3 linked regions of the Oryctolagus cuniculus genome follow. The protein of the gene in region 1 purifies or fractionates together with the protein of each later gene. This does not show direct contact. Links are inferred from orthologs where the notes say so. Each region holds a gene or a part of one and is shown in the gene's direction. Other genes may lie near its edges. The genes, in order: DCP1A, PNRC1 and BAG4.

Evidence for each region.
Region 2: the proteins of DCP1A (region 1) and PNRC1 purify together in Homo sapiens (affinity purification with mass spectrometry; 3 studies listed by BioGRID and IntAct, with this or other methods). This does not show direct contact. The link is inferred for Oryctolagus cuniculus from reciprocal best matches to the Homo sapiens genes DCP1A and PNRC1.
Region 3: the proteins of DCP1A (region 1) and BAG4 purify together in Homo sapiens (affinity purification with mass spectrometry; 4 studies listed by BioGRID and IntAct, counting the BioPlex papers as one, with this or other methods). This does not show direct contact. The link is inferred for Oryctolagus cuniculus from reciprocal best matches to the Homo sapiens genes DCP1A and BAG4.

The regions. Positions count from the first base shown.
Region 1 is NC_091441.1:96,527,004-96,530,661, forward strand, and holds part of DCP1A (mRNA-decapping enzyme 1A), read left to right. Parts: intron 1-979; coding exon 980-1,118; intron 1,119-3,658. UniProt on the Homo sapiens protein: Necessary for the degradation of mRNAs, both in normal mRNA turnover and in nonsense-mediated mRNA decay. Removes the 7-methyl guanine cap structure from mRNA molecules, yielding a 5'-phosphorylated mRNA fragment and 7m-GDP.
Region 2 is NC_091436.1:83,405,518-83,407,876, reverse strand, and holds part of PNRC1 (proline-rich nuclear receptor coactivator 1), read left to right. Parts: coding exon 1-306; 3' UTR 307-2,359. UniProt on the Homo sapiens protein: Nuclear receptor coactivator. May play a role in signal transduction.
Region 3 is NC_091433.1:87,946,726-87,950,383, forward strand, and holds part of BAG4 (BAG family molecular chaperone regulator 4), read left to right. Parts: intron 1-1,420; coding exon 1,421-1,675; intron 1,676-3,267; coding exon 3,268-3,522; intron 3,523-3,658. UniProt on the Homo sapiens protein: Inhibits the chaperone activity of HSP70/HSC70 by promoting substrate release. Prevents constitutive TNFRSF1A signaling. Negative regulator of PRKN translocation to damaged mitochondria.

The DNA.
Region 1 (3,658 bases):
TTGGAGGGTGAACCAACGGCAAAAGGAAGACTTTTCTCTCTGTCTCTCTCTCTCACTGTCCACTCTGCCTGTCTAAAATAAAATAAAATAAAATATTAAAAAAAAAAAAGGAAGATTAGGGAAGACCTATTGTTTGTTTTTACTATCATTAACGTTCAAAGGTTGACCAAGACATCTATTTCTAGAAGTGAATCTTCCTCCTTGCTAGCCTAAGGACAGTACAAACTTCCACAATGGGTTGCTCAACAGTGCAGCCATACCTGTGTCTTGGCATTGTCCAGTTTCAAATGTATTTTATGAGCTAGGTTGACTGATTTTGACATATTTCTAGGAAGAAAAGGACACACTTTCACAGAATTTTTGACATAAATGTTTCTACCAACTCTAGGAAGGAATTCTATGTTTTTGTCTTTTTTTTTTAGTTTGTTTATGTATTTGAAAGGCAGAATTATAGAGAGAAAGAGGGAGAATGGAATGAAGAGAGAGATCCTTCATCCACTGGTTCACTCCTCAAATGGCCACAATGGCCAAAGCTGGGCCCATCTGAAGCCAGGAGCCAGGAGCTTCTTCTGGGTCTCCCATGTGGGTTCAGGGGCCCAAGGACTTGGGCCATCCTCCACTGTTTTCCCAGGCCATCAGCAGGGAGCTGGATCAGAAGTGGAGCAGCCGGGACTTGAACCAGTGTTCATATGGGATGCCTACCTTGTAAGCATTAGCTTTACCCACTATGCCATAGCACTGGCTCCTGTTTTTTTGTCTTTTAAAGGTGAAATGTATTGGTTGGCAGCGTAGTGAACAAGTAAAAACGTTAGTTATATTTTCCCGGAATGAAATAACCAAGGCTGTGTATTGATGTGCTGGGAGGATACGGGCATCATGTGACCCTGTTGGCATACCCTTGGAAGATGGACAGCAAAAGACTTCTTGGGTCAGATTGTGTCTAAAGAGGCTTTTCTAAAATCCAGCTCTCCTCCTCTAGCGTGGTAGAAGAGGAAACAAGGCGATCGCAACAAGCTGCTCGGGATAAACAGAGTCCAAACCAGGCCAATGGCTGCAGCGACCACCGGCCCATCGACATCCTGGAGATGCTGAGCAGAGCCAAGGATGAGTACGAGAGGGTAAGGTTCTCTGGGTGCTGACCAGGGAAGAATCTTCTGGTTCACTCCCTAAATGGCCACAATGGCCAGGGCTAGTCCAGGCCAAATCCAGGAGCCTGGAATTCCATCCAGGTCTCCCACATTTGTGGCACGGGCCCAAGAACTTGGGCCATCTACCACTGCTTTTGCAAGCACATTAGCAGGAAGCTGAATTTTAAGCAGGGCAGCCCAGATTCAAACTGGTGCTCATATGGGATGCCAGCAGCCCCGAAATGTCAGACTTTTGTGGGAGGGGCATTTATAATAATTATTTTTTAAATATTTCTTGATTTATTTGAAAGTCAGAGTTACACAGAGAGAAGAGAGACAGAGACAGAAAGAGAGAGAGAGAGAGGTCTTCCATCCACTGGTTCACTCCCCAGTTGGCCACAACAGCCAGAGCTGTACCGATCCAAAGCCAGGAGCCAGGAGCTTCTTCTGAGTCTCCCACGCAGGTGCAGGGGCCCAAGGACTTGGGCCATCTTCTACTGCATTCCCAGGCCATAGCAGAGAGCTGGATCAGAAGTGGAGCAGCCAGGTCTCGAACTTGCGCCCATGTGGGATGCTGGCGCTTCAGGCCAGGGCGTTAACCCACTGCACCACAGCGCTGGCCCCCATTTATAATAATTAAAGATGGTTTAAAAAATTAAAAAAAAAAACTAAAACTCTCCAGTAAGCACCCTCATAACTGGTACAGTTTGAGTTGTTTCTTGCCACAGAATATAACCCTGGGTTTGGGTGGAATTTAATTCCATCACCCAGCCACCCATCATAATCACTGAAAATACTTTGTTATTTAAGAGGTAGAGTTACAGACAGTGAGAGGGAGAGACAGAGATAGAGGTCTTCTGTCTGTTGGTTCACTCCCCAGATGGCTGCAACGGCCAGAGCTGCACTGATCCGAAGCCAAGAGCCAGGTACTTCTTCCCAGTCTCCCATAAATGATAGCATAGATTTCTCTTTCTATTCTAATAGGAACATTTTGTAGCTAAATCTTCATGTACAGCATTAATTTTTTCCTTAAGATGAATTACTTGACTTGGTAGATTAAAGGATTTTGACAATTATAAGATTTATACCCTGTATTATAAAAATGACTTCCAGCAGATCTGGCTGTGATTGTCCAATCCCCTCATCCTAGTAGTCATTAACAAAATGAACCATCAAGAAAAGCCCTACACAAGTATCGAAAAAACATGAAGTTCTCGATACCTTACATTAAAGAACAACATATCATAAACAGTCTATGCAGCTTATGTTCGAGTATTGCAAACTCAAGTGCCCCAAGAGCCAGGTAAGCAGTGGCATTGGTAAAGTAGGCCAGAGAGCCACTTCCCTGACAGAGATCATTTGCAGTGAAGTCCCAGCCAGTTAATGCCAAATGACCTGGTGCTGCCAGATAGTCTCTGCAAATGACAATTCTGGATTTTTTTTTAAAGGGAGACTCCAGCTTCCTAAGTGTTTCTGAACATTTGCACTTTGTGTTTTAAGGATTTACTGTGAACAATGTTTATGTTTTCTGTAATATAATTCGATTCCAAGCATTCCCAGTAGTGAAATTGGTGGCTGGTTGATGGTGTTGCTGCACAGAAAGGGATATGGTAGAAGACATTTTGCAAGCTTTTGCAAACAGTTTCACCCCTGTGATGTTCTGAAATAATACAAGGATTAAGTCATTTGAATAGGAAAAAAAAAAAAAAGTGTAATGCCTTAATTTAACATTTGCCTCTCCTGTAGTAAGCACATGTTTTTATAATATGGTAGCAAGAGAACTAATTGTCTGCAGACTGAACTTTGAAAAGGCTGCTTTTTTAAAAATCTAGTGTCTTGAGTTTTCTAAATGGTTTTTGGTTATATCTTTTGGTATCAGTAATACCAGATACTGGATCACATAGCCCAAATATAAAAAACTTAAGTTGTTAAAAATTTATAATTCTGTGTCCATCCCAGTGATCATTTTTTGAGGTTTCTTTTGAAGAACAGAAATATTTTCAGGGGCCAGCATTATGGCACGTCATGTTAAGCCACCACCTGCAGCTTCCCATGTAGGCTCCAGTTTGAGTCCCAGCTGCTCCACTTCCAATTCAGCTCCCTGTAAATGCACCTGTGAAAGCAGTAGAAAATCACCTGAGTGTTGGGGCCCTGCCACCCACATGGAAGACCTGGATGGAGTTCTGGCTCTTGGCTTCAGCCAGGCTGTTGGGGTCACTTGGGAAATGAACCAGCAGATGGAAGATTTCTCTCCTTATCTCTCTCCCCATCCCTCTTCCTGTAATTCTGCCTTTCAAATAAATCAATCTTTGTAACTGTATTTTTTCACTTTTAGGGTCCTATTCAAGTTAACAATTTTAATGGCATTCAAACAATTGAATATCCATATGCAAACAAAATAACCTTAACCTAAATGCATAAATACATCATATGCAAAAATCAGAATCGATCCTAGATCTAAAGGGAAAGTATAAAACTTTTTATAAGAGTGTGTTTACTGTTCCTACGTGTTTACCACAGAGAAGTAGAAC
Region 2 (2,359 bases), on another chromosome or scaffold:
TCTACGAAAAGGAATGAAAATAACTTTTGGCAGGACTCTGTGTCATCTGATAGAATTCAGAAGCAGGAAAAAAAGCCTTTTAAAAATACAGAGAATATTAAAAACATGCATTTGAAGAAGTCAGCATTTCTGACTGAAGTGAGCCAAAAGGAGAATTACGCTGGCGCCAAGTTCAGTGATCCACCTTCTCCTAGTGTTCTGCCAAAGCCTCCTAGTCACTGGATGGGAAGTTCTGTTGAAAATTCCAACCAAAACAAGGAGCTGATGGCAGTGCATTTGAAAACACTGCTGAAGGTTCAAACTTAAGATTTCAGATTTCAGTGTGTATGTAAAACAGTTTTTTCCAACTTCCTGGACTCTTGAATTGGTACAGATCTGGAAATCTGCCTTGTTGCAATGTAAGAGTACAAAAGATGAGTTTAAAAAGTTACATACAAACAGCTTGTATTATATTTTATATTTTGTAAATACTGTATACCATGTATTATGTGTATATTGTTCATACTTGAGAGGTACATTATAGTTTTGTTATGAAAGTATGTATTTTGCCCTGCCCATGTGGCAGGTGATTTGTGTATATATATATACATATATATATATATAATGGAGAAATTTTAAGTGTGCTAAGGCACATGGAACACCAGTTTATTTGCACAAGGTACTGAGATTTTACCAAGAAACAGCTGTCAAATCTCAAGGTGAAGATCTAAATGTGAAGAGTTTACTAATGCACTACTGAAGTTTAAGTCTGTGGCACAATCATTGTAAACAATGGAGTTTTGTCTTTCGCTAAATTGATTTCTGCCTTCCAATCTAATTACTGGAAAAACTCCTCCCCATTTCTACCAAATTTAATTTTTTGTTTTTGGTATATATCCATTATTCAAATTTAAGATGCCTCTAATTTTAATGCCAACAAAATCGGTTGTAATCAAATTTTAAAGTAATAATAATTTGGCCTCCCCCCTTTAAACTAGTCTTGACTTTTTGTGTGTGACTGTCCTGTGTGTGGCCATGGGATTTTGTGTGACTGGATTTTTAACTTCTCATTTCACTGGCTCTGTTTTTGACTTTGTACTGATGATTCTTCCTCTACAAAATTTTGAGCAATTATTTAACATTTCTACCTCTTAGTGGGGAATTGCCCATCTCACAAGTGGAAATGGTAGTGGACAAAGTAAAATTGGTTAGTTTATGACTTAGAATATATTTTTATATGTAAACTTTTTTATGAAGTATTATTTGACTTAATATATGGTACATTTTTCAGTGTAAGACAATGACACCTATGTTTTATTACGTTAATCTTGAATGGTGGCACTTGTACTGAAAAAACATAGTTGATGCTGAAAACAGTGGGTGGAGATTTTGGAGGCTTGAAGATCAACATGGCAGTTCAAACCATTCTCAACATATTACCAATTCAAATTCTAAAATACACTTTCTATATGGTTTCACTTGTATAAACTGAAAGTTTGTCTCAAAGGAGAAAACTTTTCTGCGTAATTGGGCGACATTTAGAGAGGAAAAAGAAAAAAGATGTTAAAGGTACATACTTGAACATGATTCTTAAGGTTGAATTCATGAGAATGGTGCTACCTGGAGGTGTCTTAGGTCTCACACTGGTTCCCACAAGGAGAGTGAAGACTTCACTTTCTGTGTGGTGTAGGGAGTGTGAGCAGAAGCTTAAACTTGCTCTTAACTTGATACTCAGTGCCAGGAAGATAGGATGACTTGTTATGTAGCTGTCCCACAAAATTTGTGTAATAATGGCAAGGCATGCTATCTTGTATTTGCAGCTCTAGCCAGCCAACCATTCTTTGTCCCTGGGTATGAAATGCTTGTTCTTACAGAAAGAAATTAAGCTATGCTTTAATATTCATTGAATATTAGAACGGTTTAGAGAAATTGGTGCTAAAACTAATGTGAAAATATAGGTGAACTTTTCAGCCTTGGAAAATTATTTTCTGAGAATGCTAGAGTTAAAACATTGATAAATAGCTTTAAAGAAATGACAAGTAGACTATATTATAGTATTAAGATAGGTCTTACAGTTGTAAGAGTAAACATAAGTGAATTATACCAGATAATATAATATATATTCAGTGAGAAGGTACTGAATTTGTTTTGGTCAGTGATGTTAAGCCACCTTTATTTTTCTTCTGTTGGAATCTCTTGAAATGTTTCCTCTAATGTTGATGTAATTTGGCTTTGTGGATGTATGGGACCATGTAGTTCTTAGCTTCAGGCCTAAATTTATAGTGGCCTAAGGAAACAGCTTTTAATTGCAAAGGAGTAAAAGGTTTGTCAGCTTATGTGAGTGGAAAAAATTGTTGGCAGTGGCACTTGATTAAGCAAC
Region 3 (3,658 bases), on another chromosome or scaffold:
AGCCCTGAACTCCATAGGGGCCTCCTTCCTTATGGCTGAGGCTCAAACACGTGAGCCACCATCAGCTGCTTTCTAGGCTGCATTAGTAGGAAGCTGGTTTGGAAGTGGAGCAGCCAGGACTCAATCCAACACTCTAATGTGGGATCCTGGTGTTGTAAGTGGAGGCTTAACCTGCTGTACCATAATGCCCACCCCAGGATGGTAGCCTTCTACGTCATATTGTTTATTTCTTATATTAATCCTCTGAAATGTTTGTAATATTTGTTATTCTGATGGAGAAACTGAAGCTAAGAGTGGATACATACGTTTTTAAAAAATTTATTTATTTATTTGAAAGTCGGAGTTACAGTGAGGGCAGGAGAGACAGCGAAAGACAGAGATCTTGCACCTGCTGGTACATTTCCCAGATGACTGCAATGACTGGGGCTGGGCCAGGCTGAAGCCAGGAGTCAGGAGCTTCATCTGGGTCTCCCATTTGGGTAGCAGGGGCCCAAACACTTGGGCCATCTTTCACTGCTTTCCCCAGGCTATTATCAGATAACTGGATTGGAAGTGGAGCTGCCAGGACATGAACTGGTGCTTATGTGGGATGCTAGTGTCACAAGCTGTGGTTTTACCCATTATGCCATGATGCTGGCTCCTAAGAGTGGTAAAATATAAAACCTATGGCAGAGCTATGTCTGGCTCTTTTTTTTATTATTATTATTTGTTTATTTGAAAGGGAGAGATATCTATCTATCTATCTTCCATCTGCTGGTTCTCTCCATAAATGGCCACAATGGCTGGGACTGGGCCAGGCCGAAGCCAGGAGCCAGGAGCTTCTTCTGGGTCTCCCATGTGGGTGCCGAGGCCCAAGGATTTTGGCCATCTGCTTTCCCAGGCACACTACCAGGGAGCTGGATTGGAAGTGGAGCAGCTAGAACTTGAACTAGTGTTCAAAGTTGGAGTGCCAGCATCACAGGTGGTAGCTTTACCTGCTATACCAAAATACTGCCCGGCCCCCTTTTTCTATTAAATTGTGGTACTCCCTTTCTCTAAAAGTCATTTTCCTAGGTTTTCAGGAATCCTCCCCCTAGTGTGTGGGTTTAAGTTCATCCCTGCTATTAGGTGTCATTGTTAGGGGCACTTAAGGAGACGTTTGAAGAACACTGCTCTAAGGCCATAGCTTCATCATTTCCTCTCATCATCATGTGCTCTCCCCTGGTCACTACACAGACTCTGCACTTAGAGCCCAAGTTTCATTTATGGCATTAATCATAATAAATGATAGAGAACGCTTCAAAAGTTGCTCAGGTATTTCATATTTTTCATTCATCACTGATCTCGTTTCTTCCCAAAGTTTTTAAGGTTGGGCCTTAAGACAGGGCGTTTCAGTTCATCTACCCATTCATCTTTTTTCTCTCAACTTTGCTTTTTTCAGAGTTTGAATTCTTACACAAATGGAGCATACGGTCCACCGTACCCACCTGGCGCTGGGGCAAGTACTGCCTCATACTCTGGGGCGTATTACACCCCTGGATATACCCAGGCCAATTATTCCACAGAGGTTCCCGGCACTTACCGTTCACCCGGCAATAGCCCAACCCCGGTCTCTCGTTGGGTGTATCCCCAACAGGACTCTCAGACTGAAGTGCCCCCTCTGCGAGGGCAGGTTCCAGGGTATCCTGCTTCTCAGGTAAGCAGTTGTCGGTTGGGGAAAAGCTCTGCTCTGTCTGTGCCTCTTGGATTGCAAACTGTGGAAGGGTGACTGCTTATGCTAGATTGAAGATTTCAGAACACACTTGGGATGTTCAGAGATTTGCCAGCAGTGACTGGGACCAGGAAGACAGGTGCTACTTTTTTGTTGATGCCTTTTGTACTTGTAACTGTTGTGGTCCATGGACTTTGGCTGAAGGCACCTTAAAGATGCCATAATCACACACTTTTTAATACTGAACGCAATATTTAGAGAGTTACTACTTGAAAATTTCTGTGTCTTAGCTCTGTTAGGCCTATATAAAACATTATTCTAAATGTCACGTGTATTTATTTATTTATTTTAGATTTATTTATTTATTTGGGAGGCAGAGTTACAGTGAGAGGGGGAGAAAGGTCTTCCATCTGCTGGTTCACTTCCCAGTTGGCTGCGATAGCTGGAGCTGGGCTGATCCAAAGCCAGGAGCCAGGAGCTTCTTCTAGGTCTCCCATGTGGGTGCAGGGGCCCAGGCACTTGGGCCATCTGATGCTGCTCTCCCAGGCCATTAGCAGGGAGCTGGATCAGAAGTGGAGCAGCTGGGACTTGAACCGGCATCCATATGGGATGCTGGCACCATAGGCAGAGGCTTAAGCCACTATGCCACAGCACCTACCTCTTCTGTTTACTTCTGATACATCCTTATTGATACTTTCTTATAGTATATGTGGCCATTTGTTTACAGTGTCTGTGCTTCATCAATTGAATTTTAGGCTTTAATTTTTGTGACTTTGATTGTTAGCAAACCTGCCCCTAAAAGCTTTGGAACCAAATTTTTTTTTAAACATTTTTTGTTTGTTTTAAATTTAAGAGAGCTCGCATGTGCTGGTTTACCTCCCGTGCCTGTAACAGCTAGAAGCTGGGAGCTGAGAATCCCAGTCCAGACCTTCCAGGGGGTGGCATGCACCCAATTACGTGAGCTATCACCTGCTGCCTCCCAGGTTGCGGATAGTAGGAAGCTGGAATCACAGAGTGGAGCTAGAACTCAAACCCAGGCATCTGACAGGGGATGTGAGCATCCTAATCGCCAGACCAGACATCCAAACACTTGCCCATGGAACCAAAGTGTTTTTTGTTTTTTTTTTTTTAAGATTTAATTTTTTATTGAAAGATTGACACAGAGAGATTTTCCACCTACTGGTTTACTCCCTAATTGCCTGCAGCAGTCAGGGCTAACCCAGGCCAACGCCACGAGCCAGGAACTCCATCCGGGTCATCCACGAGGGTGGCAGAAACTCAGGCATTTCAGTGTCATCAGCTGCTTCCCAAATGCATTAGCAGGAAGTTGGATTGGAAGTGCAGAGTAGCCAGGACTCCACCCAGGTGCTCTGAAGTATGGGATGTGGGTGTGGGCATCCCAGCTGCACCACAGTGGCTGCCCCCTGGAAACAAGATTTTGTAGGCTTGGAGAAATTATTGCAACTGATTAATTAGTTACTAGCATCTCAGAATCTGCCTGTACTAGAATATTTTCATTACTTCTTCAATTTTTTTTTTTTTAGCAATGACCAGCATATTTCTTCCTCTCAATCTAGAACCCTGGAATGACTCTGCCCCATTATCCATATGGGGATGGTAATCGTAGTGTTCCACAGTCTGTACCAAGTGTACGACCGCAAGAGGATGCCTGGGCCTCTTCTGGGGCTTATGGAATGGGTGCCCGTTACCCCTGGCCTTCGGCTGTGCCCACAGCACCACCTGGGAATCTCTATGTGACCGAAAATGCTTCACCATGGCCTAGCAGTGGCTCTCCTCAGCCACCTCCTTCGCCTCCGCCCCAGCAGCCCAAGGTAGGACATCTAAAGGCTGTTCCTGTGAAGTCTGGGTACTTAATAGAGTACAACATGGGACCTTTCTGCATCGGTCTGTTAAATGGGGAGTAACTGCAAAAATCTGGTGTCTACTACCTATAGCTTTTCCTCTCTC